Caenorhabditis elegans: one gene and its partners. The protein of the gene in region 1 interacts with the protein of each later gene in a pairwise test. Each region holds a gene or a part of one and is shown in the gene's direction. Other genes may lie near its edges.

What was found.
Region 2: the proteins of jac-1 (region 1) and klp-15 interact in a two-hybrid assay, tested with the Caenorhabditis elegans proteins (one large-scale study listed by BioGRID).
Region 3: the proteins of jac-1 (region 1) and smap-1 interact in a two-hybrid assay, tested with the Caenorhabditis elegans proteins (one large-scale study listed by BioGRID).
Region 4: the proteins of jac-1 (region 1) and perm-2 interact in a two-hybrid assay, tested with the Caenorhabditis elegans proteins (one large-scale study listed by BioGRID).

What each region holds. Positions count from the first base shown.
Region 1 is NC_003282.8:16,023,638-16,028,650, reverse strand, and holds the start of jac-1 (Fibronectin type-III domain-containing protein), read left to right. Parts: upstream 1-1,803; coding exon 1,804-1,958; intron 1,959-2,097; exon of another isoform or gene 2,098-2,122; intron 2,123-2,218; exon of another isoform or gene 2,219-2,239; intron 2,240-2,262; exon of another isoform or gene 2,263-2,283; intron 2,284-2,495; exon of another isoform or gene 2,496-2,516; intron 2,517-2,661; exon of another isoform or gene 2,662-2,682; intron 2,683-2,844; exon of another isoform or gene 2,845-2,871; intron 2,872-3,022; exon of another isoform or gene 3,023-3,043; intron 3,044-3,080; exon of another isoform or gene 3,081-3,101; intron 3,102-3,229; exon of another isoform or gene 3,230-3,253; intron 3,254-3,599; exon of another isoform or gene 3,600-3,620; intron 3,621-3,883; exon of another isoform or gene 3,884-3,907; intron 3,908-4,056; exon of another isoform or gene 4,057-4,077; intron 4,078-4,088; exon of another isoform or gene 4,089-4,114; intron 4,115-4,755; exon of another isoform or gene 4,756-4,779; intron 4,780-4,871; exon of another isoform or gene 4,872-4,892; intron 4,893-5,013. UniProt on the Caenorhabditis elegans protein: May act as a positive modulator of hmr-1 function during epidermal morphogenesis. Required for proper localization of other junctional components, such as pac-1.
Region 2 is NC_003279.8:5,576,389-5,581,084, reverse strand, and holds klp-15 (Kinesin motor domain-containing protein), read left to right. Parts: upstream 1-1,890; 5' UTR 1,891-1,903; coding exon 1,904-2,057; intron 2,058-2,188; coding exon 2,189-2,976; intron 2,977-3,023; coding exon 3,024-3,459; intron 3,460-3,506; coding exon 3,507-3,892; 3' UTR 3,893-4,015; downstream 4,016-4,696. Other genes in the region: ctnb-1 (Beta-catenin-like protein 1 N-terminal domain-containing protein), read right to left, coding at 51-295, 359-467, 512-715, 760-1,320, 1,363-1,419; rmh-1 (RecQ-mediated genome instability protein 1 homolog), read right to left, coding at 4,448-4,627, 4,670-4,696.
Region 3 is NC_003281.10:10,736,159-10,741,552, reverse strand, and holds smap-1 (Arf-GAP domain-containing protein), read left to right. Parts: upstream 1-1,760; 5' UTR 1,761-1,774; coding exon 1,775-1,896; intron 1,897-2,202; coding exon 2,203-2,900; intron 2,901-3,111; coding exon 3,112-3,584; intron 3,585-4,107; coding exon 4,108-4,302; 3' UTR 4,303-4,660; downstream 4,661-5,394. Other genes in the region: tbb-1 (Tubulin beta chain), read left to right, coding at 1-144, 195-572; tass-1 (Protein FAM32A), read left to right, coding at 787-908, 947-1,028, 1,073-1,192.
Region 4 is NC_003282.8:1,125,224-1,129,736, forward strand, and holds perm-2 (uncharacterized protein), read left to right. Parts: upstream 1-1,566; 5' UTR 1,567-1,577; coding exon 1,578-1,661; intron 1,662-2,495; coding exon 2,496-2,655; intron 2,656-2,705; coding exon 2,706-2,941; intron 2,942-3,351; coding exon 3,352-3,435; intron 3,436-3,481; coding exon 3,482-3,529; 3' UTR 3,530-3,642; downstream 3,643-4,513. Other genes in the region: C44B12.6 (Clip domain-containing protein), read right to left, coding at 3,925-3,987.

The sequences.
Region 1 (5,013 bases):
TTAGCTGGGAGAAGTCCTAAAACGCTATTTACAATATTTTAGGGATTACTGTAGGGTTATGTAACAACCGAAGAAAAGAAACCTAATCGGCAGGAGCTGATGAGTTTGATTTAAAATTTGCATAGCCATTTCGACAGCAAACATTTTAAAAACAAAACCTCGCTTAAAATGAACATTTTGAGATAAAACTTCACATTAACTTTGTCTTTAACTTTGAAAACATTTTGAAACAGAAACAATTTTAATCCTAAATTTTTTTCAAATTTCCCACCAAAAAGTGCCTTCTCTTACACTTTTCCCACTGGGATCCTCAGCGGCTCCCTCCAAATCGCGGCTCATCAATCTTGCTCAAAAAAAATTTATTTGCACCCACCAATTGTCTACCACCTCCGATGGGAGACGGGTGCTTTGATTAATAATTATGATATTTTTGGTTTGGCTTTTTTTGGTTTTACTGTTCTTTTCGAAAATAGAAGTTTTGGAGCATTTTTATATTTTCCATGAATCTCGCTATTAAAAAAAAGACAATTTTGGAAAAAAAATTTGCCGTTTCAAAAGTAACATATAAACAAATAAATTTTTTAACTTGCAGTATGGTGTTTACTTGAGTAATTAGATTTGTTTCCATCCTAAACTTTCTTCCACGTGGCATATTACGTTGAATTCTTACAGAATAATTAAAATTATTATTAAAAATTTGAAAAAAATGACTTTTGGATGAAAATGTTTGACTTTTCCCAAAATTTCATCTGCATTTTTGTAATATTACTCGGTTTACTAACAGTTCTTCATAATTTACGGTTTTTTTTTCAAAAAATGATATTTTTTAAAAAAAGCTTTTTTTTGAAATTTTTCTACGAAAATTCCGAAATTGTGCAGAAAATCGTCAAATTCGTTTTCAAAATTTTTCAATTAATTTAGGAATTTTTGATTGTTAGAAAGTTTCTCAATGAAAGTTTTAAAGAATTACCAATTTTTGAATGTGAGCTGTACTCAATGTAGAAGCAAATTTTACGATAATAAATGGATAACTTGAAACATTATTTTTCAAAAAAATTTCTACAACTGCTGAAAAGTTAATTTCTTAAGAGGAAAATGTATTATCTTCGTCGCATAACGTTTTTTGTTGCTAGAAATCCGGAATACGCGTTGATTTCTGGAAAAAATTGTGGAGTTTTTTGCATTTTCGAAAAAACAAATTTCACCGTTTCAGAAATGTCTTAAATCGTTTTGTTTTCAATTGAAAAACGCTTCGATTTTGAGAAAACTGGCCGTTTCAAGAATTATTCAAAAATCGGTCTGTTTTGTTCTCTACTCTACTGACAAGTACTGTTTCAGAATGTTCACAAAAAAAGCTAATTTTATAATAAAACTAATTGTACTACGATGCAGTAAATATATATTTTTCGTATGAAAATTCTCACTTCACTCAAAAATTGATTAAAATTGTCATAATTAATTTTGAGATTTCTATTAAAACTGCTAATTCAAGGTTTTAACAGAATTCTCCATAGAATACTAAAATTTACAATTATTCCTGAATGCATATCAAAATGTTATTTTTTCTATTCGGAACTAGATCACGTAATTGTTCGTGAAATTTTTGCAAAATAAATCGAAAATGTGAATAGGTGAAATTTTGTTTTAAAAAAAAATTTTGAAAAAAATTCACTTTTTCACATAGTACTCATAAGCACTGTTATAAAACCATATCTGATGTCTCATTGTTAACATTTTCTCTCAACTCTCCGTCCACTTTTTAAATAATCAATAATTCCTCCTCAAAATCCCAACATTTTACAGATGATCTCCTCGGGGTGGATGCAAGAAATGGAGCCCATACCAGAGGAGGGAACCGAGGCGGATGGCTCCGAGTGGGGAGCTATGTCGGATACCGCTAAAAGGACGATGCGAAAGAAGGAGGTGTACACTTCGGAACAGATTAATACGCTAGTTAGGTTAGTTTTTTTTTTTGGAATTTTTATTTTTGGGAGGGGTTTGAAAGAGATCTCAAAGTTTGAATTAATTTTGAAATTGAAAAAAAAAGTTTTGCAGTTTCTGGTTCTTGAGAAGTAGTACAAGGAAATAGAAAAGCACTTATTTTTGAAATCGAACTTCAAAACCAGAAATGAAAAATTGATCAAAAACTAACTTAAAAATTGGGCATAGAACATATTTATTTGAAGAAAATTAAATTTTCAGCCAACAAAATGTTCTAAAGTTTCAAGTTCCTTAGATATCACTGAAAATATCTAAGCTCTTTTTGACATCAAAGAAAAACAGATAAGTTTTTATTATATATGATCTCGATTTTTTTCTCTGAATAATCTCACACATTCAAATTGATACTCTTAAAATTAAAAAAAAACAAAAGAAATAACTGATTGCGTATTAAAAAAATAGTTAAAATTCCGAAACTAGAAATTAAGTTTAAAAATTAAAAAAAAAACTGTTTCTAGTTCTTAAGATATAACTGCTCCAAAATAGAAGGGCAGTCTCATAGGGTCTCGTTGACAAGCTGAAACGAAAGTAGTGTATTTTTTCAAAAACGAACTAATTCTGCATAACAACAGCAAATCTCGGCTTTTAGCTAAAAAATCTAACACTTATTTTTACTTTTTCTAGTTTCCCAAATAAAACCTTTAATTTTCCATTAAATATTGATTTAAGTGCCTGTCCTTTCTAGTAGTACTGCATAGCTTACGATCTTCTCTTTAAAATATTTATGAAAATCCAAAATATTCAAAGCAATAATACAGAAAGTGTTTTGTTCTACAATTTGGTATCAACTTTTTTCTACTGTTTTTACACCTTAAGATAAAACTGCTCTGAATTGAGTGACATTCTCGCTCTTGAACAAAACGCAGAGAAATCAACCACTTTTTGACCGTTGTTCCACCACTTTTTGTAAAACAAATTACTGGTTAAAAGTTGCCTATTTCAAAATTTTCTTTCTGAAAAGTAGTAAAATATTTCGTTAAAAAATAGAAAATCGGAGTTTGTCAAGGAAAAAATTTTGGAAACTTTTTTCCGACTGTTTCTATTGCTTAACATATTAGTTCTCGAAAATAAAAAGGCAGTCGGAAACCAGATATATTTTGAAAGTTGATAATTTCTCTAAAAGCAACCTAATTCTGCATAAAGTCGGTATTCTAAAATTCTCGACTGCGAAAAATAAATTTCTACTGTTTCAAATTGTTTAGATAAAACTACTTAAATTGATTAAAGATAGTGCCATTAATTCATCCGATATTCCCATCTCACCTCTCTTTAATTCCCTCCAAAAAAGCCGTTTCAAAACCCTAACCGCCGCCAAATACAAACAGTCCGTCCTATTTTTTCCGTTTTTGCATCGGATTAGTGTTGTGTCTTCCGTCTCTCCAAATCCCACACTATCTCTCAGCCAGGTCTACAAAATGTTTATTATTGTCATTAATATTCGTTTCGGCTATGTTTTATTGGTATATCATTGGATTGGAACGACGACGCTAGTGGTCATTTATTGCAACTTTTGAGTTGCGGCAAAACTTTAGAAATTGAAAAAAATAGTTTCGGTTTCAAGGGTTTATACTTTTTTCCGAACATTTTTGGTTATCAGATCCAAAAATAGTTAAATCTAATTTTTGTTTGACAATGTATATGCAACTGAAACTGCAAAACCAAGTTAAAAATTTTTTAATGTAACCAGCCTACCATAAATAAGAATAAATTGAACATTTGAATGTTTTAATAGCAGTTTTTATTTAAGTGTATTCCAAGTTAATTTTCTTCAAAATTTGCAAAAAAAATGTTTGCTTAATGAAAGTTTTATCGAGGCCACTTTATTTTGGCAAAAAAAACTATTTCAATATGTTTTTTAACGACTTGCAAGTTAAACTCATATTATTGTTACTTAACCTTTGAAATAAATTTGACCCATATAAGTTTCATAATATACATGGAATCCTTGCCTGAAAATTTTTTAATATTTCAAAATAATTAAACGGTGAAAATTCATAAATTTGCTTTTAAAACTTCAAGAAATTTCAATTTTTAAATTAAAATTACTGTTTCAAAACTTTGAGAAAATGTTTCTGATTAGCTGTTATTTTATTGCACAATTGATAAGGATAAAATGAAACAGTAAAACAGCAATTTTTAAAAACTTGACAATTGGTTCCCGATGACGTCACTGGAAATGCAAGGATGTGCAAGGTGTGAGTAATCGAAAATACCCTTCCCTTCCCTGTCTCAAACGGTCCATTTCTCCACGGCAAACAAGAGACCATCTAAAACAATATGTCATTTCCCTCTCTCCACTCTGCGTCTCACACTCTCTTCCCGCACGTTGGCACTCTGCCAAAGTGTGTAGAGAGAGTGGAGAAATAGAGAGTGAGACAGAAGGTTAAAAAGGTGTGAGTGAGAGAATGTCCTCGATGAAGAGAGGGGACGAACAAATGAATAAATTGCGTTCGCCGTTCTCATTTCCGATGACTTTTTGTTCTTTTACTGTGGAGAGATTTTCTGAAGAATGGGAGACACTTTTTTTCCACTGCTTTAGATGTTTCTTTGAGCATGTAGTTTTGTAAACGACGTTCTCTACATAAAATTGATTTTAAATACAGTTTTTTTTGCTAAAATTCAACAGAAAGATGAATTCTAAAAAAAAAAGAAAAAATTGTGTAAAATCCTGTTTTTTTCAGTTTTAACTATGAATATTCGAAAAAAAAACTGTTTCAAGATGTTGTTGAATTTTCTTCAAGTTTTTTAGTTAACTGTTATTTTGTCTAAAATTTCTCTAAATACTATTTTTAGATATTTCACATAACAATTTTTCTTCTTAACATTGTTTCAAATAGATCATATATTTTCGAAAATGTTTCAAATATTAGTGGGAAAAATCATTCCAGCGGACAAAATAAGCTGTTAATCTGAAATTATTTCTCTGTTTTAGGCTGTCAGTGAATTTTTTAAAATTTCAGTTCACTGCTGATTTATTTTAAAAATAACAAAAAACTGCCAAGTACTGTTTCA
Region 2 (4,696 bases), on another chromosome or scaffold:
CCAATTTTGAAGCTAAAACATTCAAAATAATATCACAACATAAATCTTACCGTACAAACGTGTTCTTCATGTTCATCAGGTGTCGTATCCTTTCTTTTTGTCTTTGAAGGTGTTCTCATGAATAACGGGAAAATTGTTCTCAATCCGAGCATTTCGACAAGTTTATTGCAATTTTCGATTCCCTCGTCTCCTGATGTTGCATGGTTCAGAACTTTCAGAGCACTTTGTCTTGCTTGTTTCTTCTCTCGGAGCATCAAATTCATCAATTGAAGACCTTCTCCGTCGAGGAACTTTTCTGAAAACATTTATTTTGAACAAGAGCAATTTTTTTGGTGTTTATATTCAAAAAAATTCGTACTTCGATTAGCCGGATGCATAAGTGCGGCACAAAGTGAGTTGAATAGATTTTCCATGTATTCTCGTTCGTCTACATTTGCTGGATCGTTCTTTTTGTACACAGCAATGGTCTTAAAAGTTCAATTTATTCTTGATACTTTGTTTGGCTACTCACTCTCAATAAAATATCGATGCCATCAATTTTCTCTGTCAGCTTTGCCTTTGCAGTATCAGAAGTCTGCAATATGACTGAAAGAAGTTCCGAAGCGTACATCTTATTCGCATCAAATGCACCTTTCTGAAAGCATCTTTTCAGAAGCCAAACCGTGAATCCGTGCTTTACGCATTCTTCAGTAATGTCATCGCGGAAACCAATCATCTGAAAATATATTGTTTTGTTTTTCAAATATCGATTTTTCTTACATTGTCCACAACTCCGAGTGCATTATGGACGCCATCCGCTTCATCTTTGACGCTTTCATCGAGCCTCTCTACGCATGCTAACAAAGTTGTGATAATCGATCCAGACACAAGACTTTCAATAAGTTCAGCTGCTCCATCTTCTCCTTCGTTCATCACATCATCGTCTGTAAGTTCTCTCAAGAGACTAAGTGTTGCACACACAATATCAGTATTCTCGTGTCCTAATAATTGAAGAAGAATTTCAACTCCGTTGACTTCAACAAACGATCCATAAAGGTCTGGTTGAGAAGCCAGACTATGCATTTCTTGAATTGCCTTGTCTAATTCAATTTCCGATTCCATGAATTTCTGAGCATCATCTGGATTTTTAACTCTTTGTTCTCGATTTAATCGCATCTTTTTGTCAAGTTGAATAACAAGTTTCTTAACTTGCACATCGTCGAGAGCCACATAATTTGATTGATCGGCTTCCAAAGCCGCAAGAATATCTTCTGGTTTTGGCTGGCCAGCTTGAGATGAAGAAGAAGCACTATCGTCAAAACGAGATTTCTTTCTTGCTGGCTGTAAACTATTTATAATCAAAAAAATTTAATATCAATTTACCTGATACAAAGAAGATGTCGATGATTTGATAATCTCTGTTACATCGATAGAAGTCATCTGGAAACAATCATTTACCAACCTATATTTTTAAAAAACCACAGAAAAATCAAAATATTGAAGAAAGTGTATAAAAATTTTCGCAAGCAAATATTTTCAAATTTTTTTTTTGCAATTACTTTGGTGTAGATATACGGTAAACAAGGCGCGCACCGGAATATCGGAGTGTCGCTCACATTATAATTTCTAGACCTGCATTTTATATATTTGTTTGTATAACCTGATATCAGTGCAATTATGGATAAGCCTTCTGTGTTATAGTTATAAATAATTTTTACGGCATTCTTTATGCCTTTTGACAACAAAATAATTATATCCGACAATTCTGGATGAGCTCAACATGATATAAATTTTTGATCTAATACCGTAGTTGACTACGGTAATCCATTCGATTTGGCGGGAATTTTCAGAGGCGGAGTTCAACTTTGAGCGGGAAAATGTCAATGAAGGGGCTGATTTCCTCATTTTTGTCCCAAATTTCGCGATGAATGTCGCTCGAAGAAGAAGTGGCCTGTTTCGGTCGACTATCGGAGCAACGCCGAAGATCACAAGAGGACGTGCTGCCGCGCCATCCACCAAAGAAGCCAATTCAACAACAATCCCAAGACAGTCGGCTCCTGGAGGAATAACGATTGGAGGTAAATTTGTCATTTGTGTTTTTAAATAACTTCCTCGTGATTTCAAAGTGTTCACACTTCTAAATAAAACATGTTTTTGTTTTTGTTTAAAACCTTTTTTGTTAACAACTACTTTAATTACGAGTTTTCAGCCGCTGCTCGTCGTCCTCCGTCTCGTTTGCCTACCCCCACAACGCCTGCAACTGGTAGAGCATCGTTGCCAGAACGATCAGCGATGGCCAAACCAGCGTCGTGTTCCCGTCCCATACCAACGATGCAATCCACCGCGAGCCGTATTTCCACACTGACGGCAGCTTCTACGTTTCGACAACTTCGCACAGGTCGTCCACCGCCACCATCCACTCAACGCTCAACTGCGACTTCTTCCCTGAAGCCGTCGGTGACAAGAGCCCGACCAGTGGCACAGAAGCCTATTCTCCCTTCTAAGATGGCGCTTCTTGAAGAGAAAATTGCGCAGCTCGAGAGTGCGATGGCTGAGGCTACCGACTTTGCTGAACATCAGAAGAGCAAGATCCAAATCCTGGATGGCAAACTTGAAGGAGCGGATCGCAAGCTGATTTCACTGCAAGATCAATTGAGCACGCTGAAAGAAGTCAACAAGGCGAAAGTGGAGGAGTGCGAGGATTATCGTGTGCACAACAACGATCTCCGGGATCTGCTCAACGAAAAGGAAGCTGAGTTGAGAAAGTTGCACAACGATGTTGTCGATTTACGCGGTCAAATTCGTGTGGCTGTTCGCGTTCGGCCGTTGATCAAATCTGAAGCCGACGCCTCGAGTTCTGCAATTGAGTATCCGGCTATCGATACCATCAGAATCAATGAAGGCTCGAAGCCTGGAATTGTGGTCAAATTCGAGAAGGTTTTCACGCCAGTCTTCTCGCAGAAGGAAGTGTTCGCGAACGTCGAGGAGTTCATTCGGGTTAGTTTCAAAATATAATATTAATAATTGAAAATTGATAATTTCAGTCGTCACTGCATGGGTACAACGTCGGATTGATTGCCTATGGACAAACCGGAAGTGGCAAAACTCACACGATGCGAGGAGGAAATGGTGAAGAGGAAGGAATCATCCCGAGAGCAGCTGCATTTCTGTTCGCCGAATCCAGAAAGCTCGAGTCACTTGGATGGAAATTCGACTTCTCGTTGTCTTTCCTAGAAGTCTACAACAACGTGGCATACGACCTTCTCAGTGACCGCGCCGTTGTCCAACTTCGTTTGAACGATCAAACGGTTTCCATGATTGGGCTCTCCGAGCACACGATTTCCAATGTCTCGGATGTGGCTAGACTTCTTCGTGTAGCAGACGGTGGCAGGAAGACGGCGGCGACAAAGTGCAATGAGAGCTCGTCTCGTTCGCACGCCGTTTATATGTGGAAGATTACAGCTCATCAGCCATCAACTGGTAACTTTCGAAAATAAAAATAATTAATTCACAATATTGATATACAGGAATTTCAACATCGTGCCAGCTCAAACTTGTGGATCTCGCAGGATCCGAACGTGCCAAGGAGTCTGGTGTCAGTGGCGACCAGTTCAAGGAGATGACTAATATCAACCAGTCGTTGTCTATCCTTCAGATGTGCATCAGCCAGCAAAGATCCCAGAAGGGACATGTTTCATATCGCGACAGCAAACTGACACAAGTGCTGATGGACTGCTTGGGACGTGGCAACTCGAAGACTATGGTTGTGGTCAATCTCAATCCATGCAACGAGCAAGCGACAGAGTCCAAGAGAAGCATCGAATTCGCCTCAAAGATGCGCAGTACTAACATCGGATCGGCCGTGCAGCAACGGACTCTCTTGGGTGACGTGTCCCAGATGTCTATGAACTAGACATATAATTCTATTCTAACATTTCATGTAAAATAACGTTATTTTTATTGCCTTATGCAAACCTTTTATACTGATGTAACCTAAATATTTCGATCATTAACAAAATGAACGAATTTCAATTTTACTTTGCGTTTTTTGAGTTTTAATCGTCTGTTTCAAAACAAAGGGAGATCCCGATAGGAAAAATATAGTCCGGTCTAAATGCTGTTGATTGGGTTATAAATACATTGTTTTGAGCTTTATGAGAATATTACATTTCTTACTGTAGTATGTATGTCTCGACCCGACGAACTTTTGATGAATTCGAAAATGGCATGACCCTTTAAAGAGTACTGTAGTTTCAAACTCTCGTTGTATCGAAAACTGTACAGTTTTCCATACAGTTTGTTTAAATTTATGTTTTTTGTTACATTTCTGTTTTAAAGAAATTTTAACGAAAGAAAAAGCTTAAAACAGTTGTATTGTATTTGGAAACAACAAAAAAACAAGAACAATTAAATAATACATGACTATATTGTGGTACACGTGAATTCAGGTAGCAAGCAATAGAAATAATTACAAAATATTGAGAGCATCAGAAATCGTTTTCACGTCAAGAATGAGCGGAATTTGGTTACGCTCTGGTGAAACCTCAACCCATAAAAGAAGATCAAGACGTTTGAATCCAAGAAGTTTACGTTCGGCTTCGCATTTCTTCGCACGTAGCTCCTCGACTTGATTTTTGTTGAATAAATTCTGAAAAAAAAAGGTTTACGAATAGCACATTAATTTTGTAACCTTGCACTGTTGAACATCAAATCCAAA
Region 3 (5,394 bases), on another chromosome or scaffold:
GGAGCTCAGGCTTACCGTGCATTGACTGTCGCCGAGCTTACTCAACAAATGTTCGACGCCAAGAACATGATGGCTGCTTGCGATCCAAGACACGGAAGATACCTCACCGTTGCTGCTATGTTCCGTGGACGCATGTCCATGAGAGTAAGTTCATCGATTGCTTGTAACTTTTCACTATATGCTTTGTTTTTCAGGAGGTTGACGAGCAGATGCTCAGTGTCCAGAACAAGAACTCCTCGTACTTCGTTGAATGGATTCCAAACAACGTCAAGACTGCTGTGTGCGACATCCCACCACGTGGACTCAAGATGGCTGCCACCTTCGTCGGAAACTCCACTGCTATCCAGGAGCTCTTCAAGCGTATCTCGGAGCAATTCACCGCCATGTTCCGCAGAAAGGCCTTCCTTCATTGGTACACTGGTGAGGGTATGGACGAGATGGAGTTCACCGAGGCTGAAAGCAACATGAACGACTTGATCTCGGAGTACCAACAATACCAGGAAGCTACCGCCGAAGACGAGCCACTCGACGAGTTCGCCGGAGAAGGGGAGACATACGAGTCTGAGCAATAATCTGTGTATCAATCACTAAATTATCCTGCCCCGTTTCGTAATTTCCTGTACAATGATCTTTTCTTTCGCCCACTCCCAATATTTTTATGACTCGAATGAACGATGATTAATTTAAACTTTTTTCCAGTGTTCTCATTATGTTTCAATCATTAAAATATCTTGCAAAAGCTCGATAGAAGGTAGACACTGGTTCACAATTTTCATATTCAGAACAATGAAAGACACAGTCGTCAAAGGATCTCTCAAGTTGAAAAAAGTATCGACAGAAGCGCCAAAGAAGACTAAAAAGAGTAAGCCAGCTATGGACTTGAAGCAAGTTGACATGACGATCAGAAGGTATGTGTAATCCGAAACCAGACAGCTAACGGTCCCAGAGATTCCAGAAACACTTCCGGCGGTGGGCCACACAAAACCGAGGCTGAGCTTCGGTTCGAGGCTAGAAGACAGGCGAACATGGTAGGCGCTTTTTTTTTTAATACTTAAAATTCACATAATTTCAGGCGGAAAGAATGCTGAAACAGGCGGCGTTGAGTCATCGTGAAAAGGTGGAGAAGTTGAACAAGCAGCTCGGCGAGATGACAGAATTCAACGACATTCCAAAAGTTTCCTGGACGAAATAATAATAATAATCTCTCTCTCTCTCTCTCTCTCTCTCTCTCTCTGTACTTTACTTGAATCATTTGTGCATAACTGTCAATAAATCTTTTTTGGTTTTTTTGCTCCAAAATGTATATTTTCCTTGATTAATTCGTGAATTTTCGTAGCTTGAAAATCCTGTACTTCTAATAAAATGCCATGGCCACGTCATTATAATTCTCCAATAATTCCCACTTTGCGTCAAATTCGGCGTATTCACAGACAAAGAGTGTCTGCGTCTCTCCGTCTCTCGCCTCTGTCCTCACACACGCCCTCATTTGCGCGAGAGCCTGACACCGGCTCCGTGAAGCTGGAGCCGACTTCATTGATTATTCGGGTTACTGGCCTCACACACACGTTCTTCTCAAATTTCAGTGGAACTCGAGGAAGCTCAGAATTTATCATTTTTTCATATTATCTCCTCTTTTGTGCATTTCCCAATTTCCCACGCGTCATCGTCGTCGAATATTGATTGAGTTGCCCTTTTCTCTCTTATCATTTTCAACATCACGTTTCCGCATTTTCATTTCCATCGAGTTCAAGGTTTTTCAGTTTCAGAAGCACAAATGCTGCGAGGTAAAGTGGATCCGAAGAAGGAAGAGCAGGAAAGACTGCAAGGCTTCCTGTTGGACATGCTCAAGGAAGAGGAGAACAAGTATTGTGCCGATTGTCAGGCGAAAACGCCAAGGTGAGAATTTGAGACGAAAATCTGGAAATTCGCGAATTTAATATAGTATATTTCGGCTTAAAATCGTTATTGCAGTAAATTTACAGGTTTGCCGGAATAATTCTTTCGAAAACTGAAAAAAGTCAAAAATTATTTTTCCGCTTGGTTACAGTTTTTAGACTTTTTTTGTCAATGCAAAACCTTCGCGGATTTATTGGTCCAAGGAATTATTCCGATAAATCCACAAATTTCAAAATTTACCCCAAAAACCGTGCCAGGATTGCAAAAATTGCAGAAATAACAACAAAAAATCAATATTTATTTCAGATGGGCTGCCTGGAACCTCGGCGTCTTCATCTGCATCCGATGCGCCGGCATCCACCGTAACCTCGGCGTTCACATCTCAAAAGTGCGCTCAGTGAATCTGGACTCGTGGACGCCCGAACAAGTGCAGACGATGCGGGTGATGGGCAACGAGAAGGCCCGACAAGTCTACGAACATGATCTACCAGCGCAATTTCGGCGGCCCACCAATGATCAGCAAATGGAACAATTCATTCGGAGCAAGTATGAACAGAAACGGTATATTCTGCGAGATTTCGTGTATCCAAGAGTTGACGCGAGCCAGCTGCCGAAATCATTGTCTCAGGCACAGAAGAAGGTCGGAACGCCCGTTGTGAACATTGCATCACGTGGAAGTAGCTCTAGCAATGGACATTCGACGGCTTCAGCTGCTGCTGCTGCTCCATCGCTTCTAGATTTTTCTGATCCTCCAGCCAGCACAACTCCTGCTAAGAAGGCCGTCAACTTATTCGACGACTTTGATGGATTAAGTCTAGGACCAGCGGCTCCGGCAGCAGCTCCAGCTGCTCTCAACGATGATTTCGACGATTTCGGATCATTTGTCTCGGCGAACTCACAAAATGCTCAACAGAATGCTCAATCTCTTGGAGGAGGATTCGCCGATTTCTCATCGGCTCCAACGACAGCAGCTGCAGCGCCTTCAGCTTCTTCTGGCCTCGATGGTATTGAATTTTCACCTGGTCTTTGTCGCAAAAAAAGATAATCAAAAAATTGAGGAAAAATGTATGAAAATTGAACCAAATTTCAATTCCTAATTTTTATCCAAAAAAAAAGTCATTTTTCGGGACCTTGGAAAATCGAACAAGCGGGAACCAAAATTCATTTGTTTTTCACTTTTGTAAATAATTTTTTTAAATGATTTTTCCTTTTCAGATCTCACCGCTCTCTCCTCAACGGCTCCAGCGACAAATGGAAGTGATCAAAAGAAAACCAACGCAGATATTCTTTCGCTTTTCGGCCCATCTGGTGGCATATCGGCTCCGAATGTAGTTGCTCCCGGAGGATTTGCCGGATTTGGACTGCAAGCTGCTCCGGCTCAAATCCCGCAACAAGCTTCTTCGTTCCACCAATTCGGGGCTCCAGCTCCAGCTCCACAACAAAATGATATGTTTGGAGGACTGTCGGGTATCAATTTTGGAGCACCACCACCATCGGCTCAAATGTCTCAAATCCCACCAATGGCTCCACCACAATACTTTGGAGCTGCTCAATTTGGAGCAATGTCTTCCAGTGGATTCGGTGGAATGAGTATGCAGTCTAAACCAACGCCTACTTCACCAACTGGATCACAAGGATTCAATATTCCGAATAAATCGAATGCTTTCGCTGATTTGGCACTTGGAAAGGTACAATTTTGGCACTTTTGAGCGTTAAAATTCTAGATATATTGAAGAAAAAAACTAGAAATTTAGCAAAAAATTCAAAATTAAAATTTTTTTCCAAACAAAATACCCGTTTTTCGATAACTCTCGCTTTATGCTTTTTTTTCAAGCAAAATACCTTATTTTTCAGAAAAAATTGTCTGATTTTCGTTGAAAAATAAACGAGTATAATCAAGAAAAAATCATATCATTTTTTACCAATTTTTGCATGAATTATTAACTAGAAAGTTCCGGAAAAAACATCCAAAAGCACAATTAATTTGGATTTTTGTTTCAAATTTCCTAGGTTTTTGTACCGAAAAGAATTCACATTTTTTATTGAATAATTTCACAATTTTTTTTGGAAAAAAACCAGCAATTTGATGCAATTTTTTGAAAAAAAAAGTAAAGTTTTGAAAAAAATTTCGATCATTAAACTAAAAAAAGTCGAACCTGATTCGATATTTCTTGAAAAAAAAAATTAACCTATTATAATTTTTTTTTCCAGGTAATGAAGACAAACTACGGACAAAGTGCAATTCATCACCAAGCGGCACCAATTTCCTCTAATAGAGCGTCACCGATGCCGGCACAATCCAACACTGCCGCCAACAATGATCTTTTCGATATGTTCGCCTCGGCACCGCCACCGGTTACAGTCAATTCGTCTTCGTCTGGACTTGACGACCTCCTTGGACTCTGAAAAACTAGTTTTCCACCTAAAAAATGCATAATTTGACCTGTGATTTTATTTTTCTTTTCTCCCTCTCTAAACACTTTCTTTCCTAGGAAACTGCGCTTCTTTTTGTGATTTTTTTCTAGTAAATTATTATTCTCATCAACATTTCCCCCCGATAAAGTTCGGTTGTGTGAGCCCCAGAAATTCCAGTCCCTTCAGCATATCCGAAATGTGTATTAGGAATACTACAACTTTTTTTTCAGATTTCTATAGCCCCTCTCTTTTTCTTTCTCCTTCAACGTACTAATTCATGCTTAAACTGATTTTTAATGTGTTTTTTTTTCTGTCGAATGAAATTTATCGAGATTCCTAATCTTGAACTAAAATTTCGACTGAAAATGACTTTTGTCGACCCCCGGCGAAATAGTACGAGAAACGAGTAGCACGCAGACATGTTCGTCCTGATTCCGGTGGGAAATATCACACGAATCGTGGAGACGCAGCAGAAAAGCCGAATGAGGCGGAATGCGCGGGAGGGAATTGGGCTGAAGAAGACGAAGAAGATGAAAGGAAACCACAATTATCGTTCTTCGGTTTGAACATTTCGATTATTTTTGTTTTTCCTTTTTTTCTCTTCCGTTAGTTTTCTCGATTTTTCTGGAGATTCGGTTTAATCCGGTTTTTTTTTGCGAAAATTTAATTCCAAAATGTGCCAACTGTAAAGGCGCACATCTTCTACCCTTGCATGGGTTCTGCAACGATCAAAGTCAGTTTGAGAGAAGTGAGCATGTGCCTTTAAAAATTACTGTAATTTCAAACTTTCCTGCGAAGTTTCTCTCGAGTTTTGTTAAAATTTAAGTGTTTTATTGCTATATTTAATTTTAAAAAAAGCGAATGTTAATTTCTTCGAAAATTTTTTTTAAACAATTGATGAAAATTTATGCTCCACAGCAACAAAAGTTTGATATATAGTACTATTTAAAGGCGCATACCTTTTCAAAATTAAAAAATTTTTGCCGTGTCGAGACCCAAAACCAGGCTTCGTATTTGTTACTCAAAAATCGAAACATTTCGTGGGTTAAAAAATACTTTTAAGGGTTTTTGAGACAATTTAAC
Region 4 (4,513 bases), about 15 Mb from region 1:
GTTGATGGAACGGGGAAAAAAGAGGAAACATTGAAAAGATGATCGATAGATTTGCACCATATCTCGGCTAATTTTCAAGATATCAAAAAAATTGTAACTAGACAGTTATAGAAAAAGTAATAATAAATAACTTGCCAGTTGATAATTTTTTGATAAAACCAAAGGCTACGAAGATATGAACTGTTAAAGTTGATCAGTAAATTTTTCATCGATGCACCAAAAAGAAGGGAATCTGAAGCATAAATAATGCATGTAAAACCTACTGCCAAAATTTTACAATAAAACTACTCTCAATGCACCATAATCAGCATTTTTGTTCAGCAGCTCGTATCCCTCTTATGTATTTTTATAAATATCAATTTATTACAAAACTTTGTAAAACTATGTAATGCATATTTTACGTGTTTGCAATTTGCTCATTGATATGTAAATTGTTGAAATTTTATTGGCAAATCCATAGAGAAATCCATTAGGAACACTATAAATCACTCCAAAGCTTTCAATTCACAAGGAAAGGAAGTCAATCTAGTCCCGGACTTTGAATCAGGACATATGCCTTTGAAAGCTTATGTTTAGACTAGATCACCAAAAAAATTTCAGCGGCGGAACTCAACTCTGAACCCCTGAAAGCGCCATCTGAAAGTGCTCCAGTGCATTTTTTTGCTGAATTCTAGGTCAAGTAAATGGCCTTAAAAGTGGCTAGAGCGGTTAAAAATTGTTTTTGGGGGTCTTTAGGGTCAAACAAACAGTGTGGAAGCTTTTTGGAAATTTTTATTTTTTTCCAAAAATCTGAAATTTTTGCGGTGATCTAGGCTAACCATAAGCTTTCAAATGACATACGTCTCGATTCGAAGTCCGGGACTAGATTAACTTACTTTCCTTGTCAGACAAATTTTTCACATAATACGTTAATTATCTATTTCATGCCCAAATTCCAGGTATTTGCACATTTCTCCATTCTCATTCAATTGCACTTTCACCCATCACGAGTTGCTCCATATGAAATCATCTGAAATGTCTGAAATTCCAAGCCCACTCAATCATCCCATTTCTCATATAACATGTTGCAATCAGGTGGGCGGCGGCTGCGGCCGGCAGGAAAAAGAGCCCAGCGGAATGTGTGATGGATTGAGCAGCGAAGAAAAAAGAAAATGGAAAAGCTGAAAAAAATAGTCGGTCGAAAAAAAAGTGACCTAAGGATGTGTTGCAACATGTGTCTGAGATCCAGCGGGGTTCAAAGAACTAATTTGTGTATCTTTTAGCAAAGTGTATTTTGAGAAAATCAACACATTTTGAACTAGAACACTGTAGAAAAACTGTTAAGGAACATTTTTCCAGTTGATCAAGTCCGAGTGATTCACCATGTATTGGAGCCTTTTGACTTGTTGGCTCAGTTACCACAGCTGTGAGATTTAATTCCAGGTTCCGTAGCAAACATTTTTGCGCTCCAAACCTTTTTGTTTTTTATCCAACGCCTAACGTTTTCCCCTCAAACTACAATGCCGAGTTCCCGCCTCCATATCTCTGGCGGATCTCAAGTATAAAAGCGGCGAAGCATCTTGGCTCCGATCATCATCATGTTTTCCACCACTTGGATCGTCGCGTCTCTGGCACTTTGCGCCGCTGTCACCTGCGCTGTGAGCACCGAGGCTCCTGAGAAGGTAAGCGTTACTGTTGGTTCTGTTGGAACTAGGAAAAACGGACTGTAAGGTTACTGTAGCTTGATAGATAACTTGATTTAGACACGTTAAAAAGTAAAGCTGTTATAGATATTTGACTAAATCTTGATGTATTGTCAGTAGGTATAATTAGTTGTATTCAAGTTATTAAGATTAGGTTTATTCCGTATCACGTGTGCATTAGTATGTATCACGTAAGGGTTACCTATACTATATTGTGATATCCTAAATAGTAAGTCTAAATAAGATTACTTGCTAAGGTGTAACTTGAATCGGACAGAAAATTTAGAGGTAATAAGATTTCTTGATGAAATGCTATGTTGATTAAGCGTAGATATATTTAATAGAATTCAACTTATTAGGAAGGTTAGTATACATTTAACTAGTTTCTTTTACCTAGGTTCTGCTCCTGGAGTTACTGTGGCTAGATGTAGCTAGACCTTAAATATATGTACCTTAAATAGGATGTAGGTCTAATTCAAATTAAACACGTTACGAATATGGCACATTATTTAATCCGATACAAAGGTAATACTATAAGTAGGCATGTATATTGAATAGTATTCAGGGAGGTATATTAGGACTAATTAAATACTTTTGAGATTAAGTAGTAACTGTTAAATACTGAAAGTGTAATAATTGTTTAGCTTTTAATATTTACCATCATTCATTTGAAGTACTTGTTCTAGGTAGCTTACTATTAGTATAGGAACGTAATCAATACCTACCTTTGAATCTAGACTAGTTTAGAATTTAGTACTAGAAAAAAATTATCAGTAAGTATGAGCGAATAAAATTTTATGTCCAATTTTCCAGCAATCCGACGTCAAGGACGCCCCAGCTGGAGCTCACTATGGCGGTGGCTACGACAACGGACCATCCTACAACCAACCCCAATACCCAGTCTACCAGTTCCCAAACTTTGACGTCAACTATTGCTCTGTCCACGCTTCCTTCCCACTTGTCGGTCTTAGAAGTTAGTTTTAACAACTTTCCTACGGGTCCCGTTCACCTTAAAACTTCTAGAGCACCATCGCGGTCACCACAGAGGCGACCGCGTGAAGAGACAAGCCTACGGAACCCCAGCTCAAGATTCCAACTACAACAACAACCAGCAATACGATGCTCCAGCCTACGGACCATCCTTCATCCAGAGACCACGCCCGTTCGAGCGTCAGGCTTGCAGAAACACCGCCATCTACTCGCAGGAGTCGTGCCAGAACTGCTGCTCCATCTCGTCCCGTGCCGCTGGAAGCTCATCGGTTAGTGCGGGTCAGAGCTATAGCTTTGGTTTATTTTTAGACTTAGGTTTAGGCTTAGGCTTAGGTTTAGGCTTAGGCTTAGGCTAAGGCTTAGGCTTAAGCTGAGACTTAGGCTTAGGCACAAGCTTAGGCTTAAAGTTAGGCATAGGCTTAGGCTTAGGATTAGGCTTAAACTTAGTTCCACCTGTTTTAAGGTCTAGAAACTGTTTTTAGCGTCTGAAAATCATTTTTTGTAATTTTAACGCAGTTTTTAAGCAAATTTTGAGGCCTAAGCTCTTTTGCCTCTACGAAACATATTTGAGGTTGCAAAGCAATTTTTAGTGTATCTGAGAACATTTTTCCGAGTTTAAAAGCTCGTTTTTAGTTGCCTGAAGCTCGTTTTCCCCCCAAAAATCTCTCCAATTTTGCAGAAAGTCGTCGGAATTCTGATGATCTTCGACCCGAAGCTGTCCGCCGACAAGAAGCACCACAAGAAGGACGACGACTTAAACTCGGTGAGCTCACAACTTTTGAAACCCTGCCAAATTTATTTTTTTTCAGCCAGACCGTGCTCTTCAATGCGTGTGCTGCACCTCGAGAAGAGTGTAATTCAACTAATTCCACGTGGCCAACTATTTTATCGATTTTTTTCTTTAAAAATTGTTTTCTTCAGTCAATCAATAAATATATATCGTACTTTGAACCAAAAAAAATATTCATTTGACATATAAAGAACCAAAAAAACTACCCGATTAGTGTGGAAAAATGGGGTCAAAGGACAAAAAGTGAAACAAATAGGAAATCGAGAAATGCAAATTATGAAATGAGACGGAAAAATTGAACATTTAATGAAAATGACACAAAAAATATCGGTTTTTGGCAAAATTCAGAATTTTAGGCGAGGGTTTTTTTTCAATTTATACAGAAAACAGCTGAGATCACAAAAATAGGGAAAAAACTTTGGATTCTAACAATCTACTACTGATATGATGAAACAAATGATGCTAAAGTGGTGTTGATGGCGGTGTTGGCAGGGAATGCGAGTGGGTTCCCGAGCTGATGTGGTTCTGAAAAAATCAATAATTTTTTTTTTTGGAGAACGGGATGAGGAAGCTTTGTCTATACCGCGGTTGTGAAATTGAACTTTTTTAAAAATGAATATCAAGAAAACGCCTGTGGAATTAAAATTGAAACTTCTTTTGTTGGTTCAGGGCAGATAATATAGTGATTTTTCAGCTCTAACAGTTTGTTTTAAAATAAAACAATTACATTTCGAAACTTACAATCTTTCTTATAAATGGAAATTATTAAAGCATTGTGAAATCTTTGCAGCGCATTTGGCTTAGTGGCAAACCTTTTGAAAAACATGTTAGAAACTTTTCGGGTTGAATTTCTTTTTTCATAGATTTCTCCCACTTTTTAATAGTCCAAATTTGCAAAAAAAATCATTTTAAATCCTTAATCCCAAAAGCGGAAATGACGTGGTTTGTTTGTTTTTTCTGGACCTTTTTTTTTCCTTTTTTTTGGGATGAAAAAATTCGCAAAAAATTTTCCCGTGGTGGAGAGTTGAACTCATTACCACCCGAAAAAGTG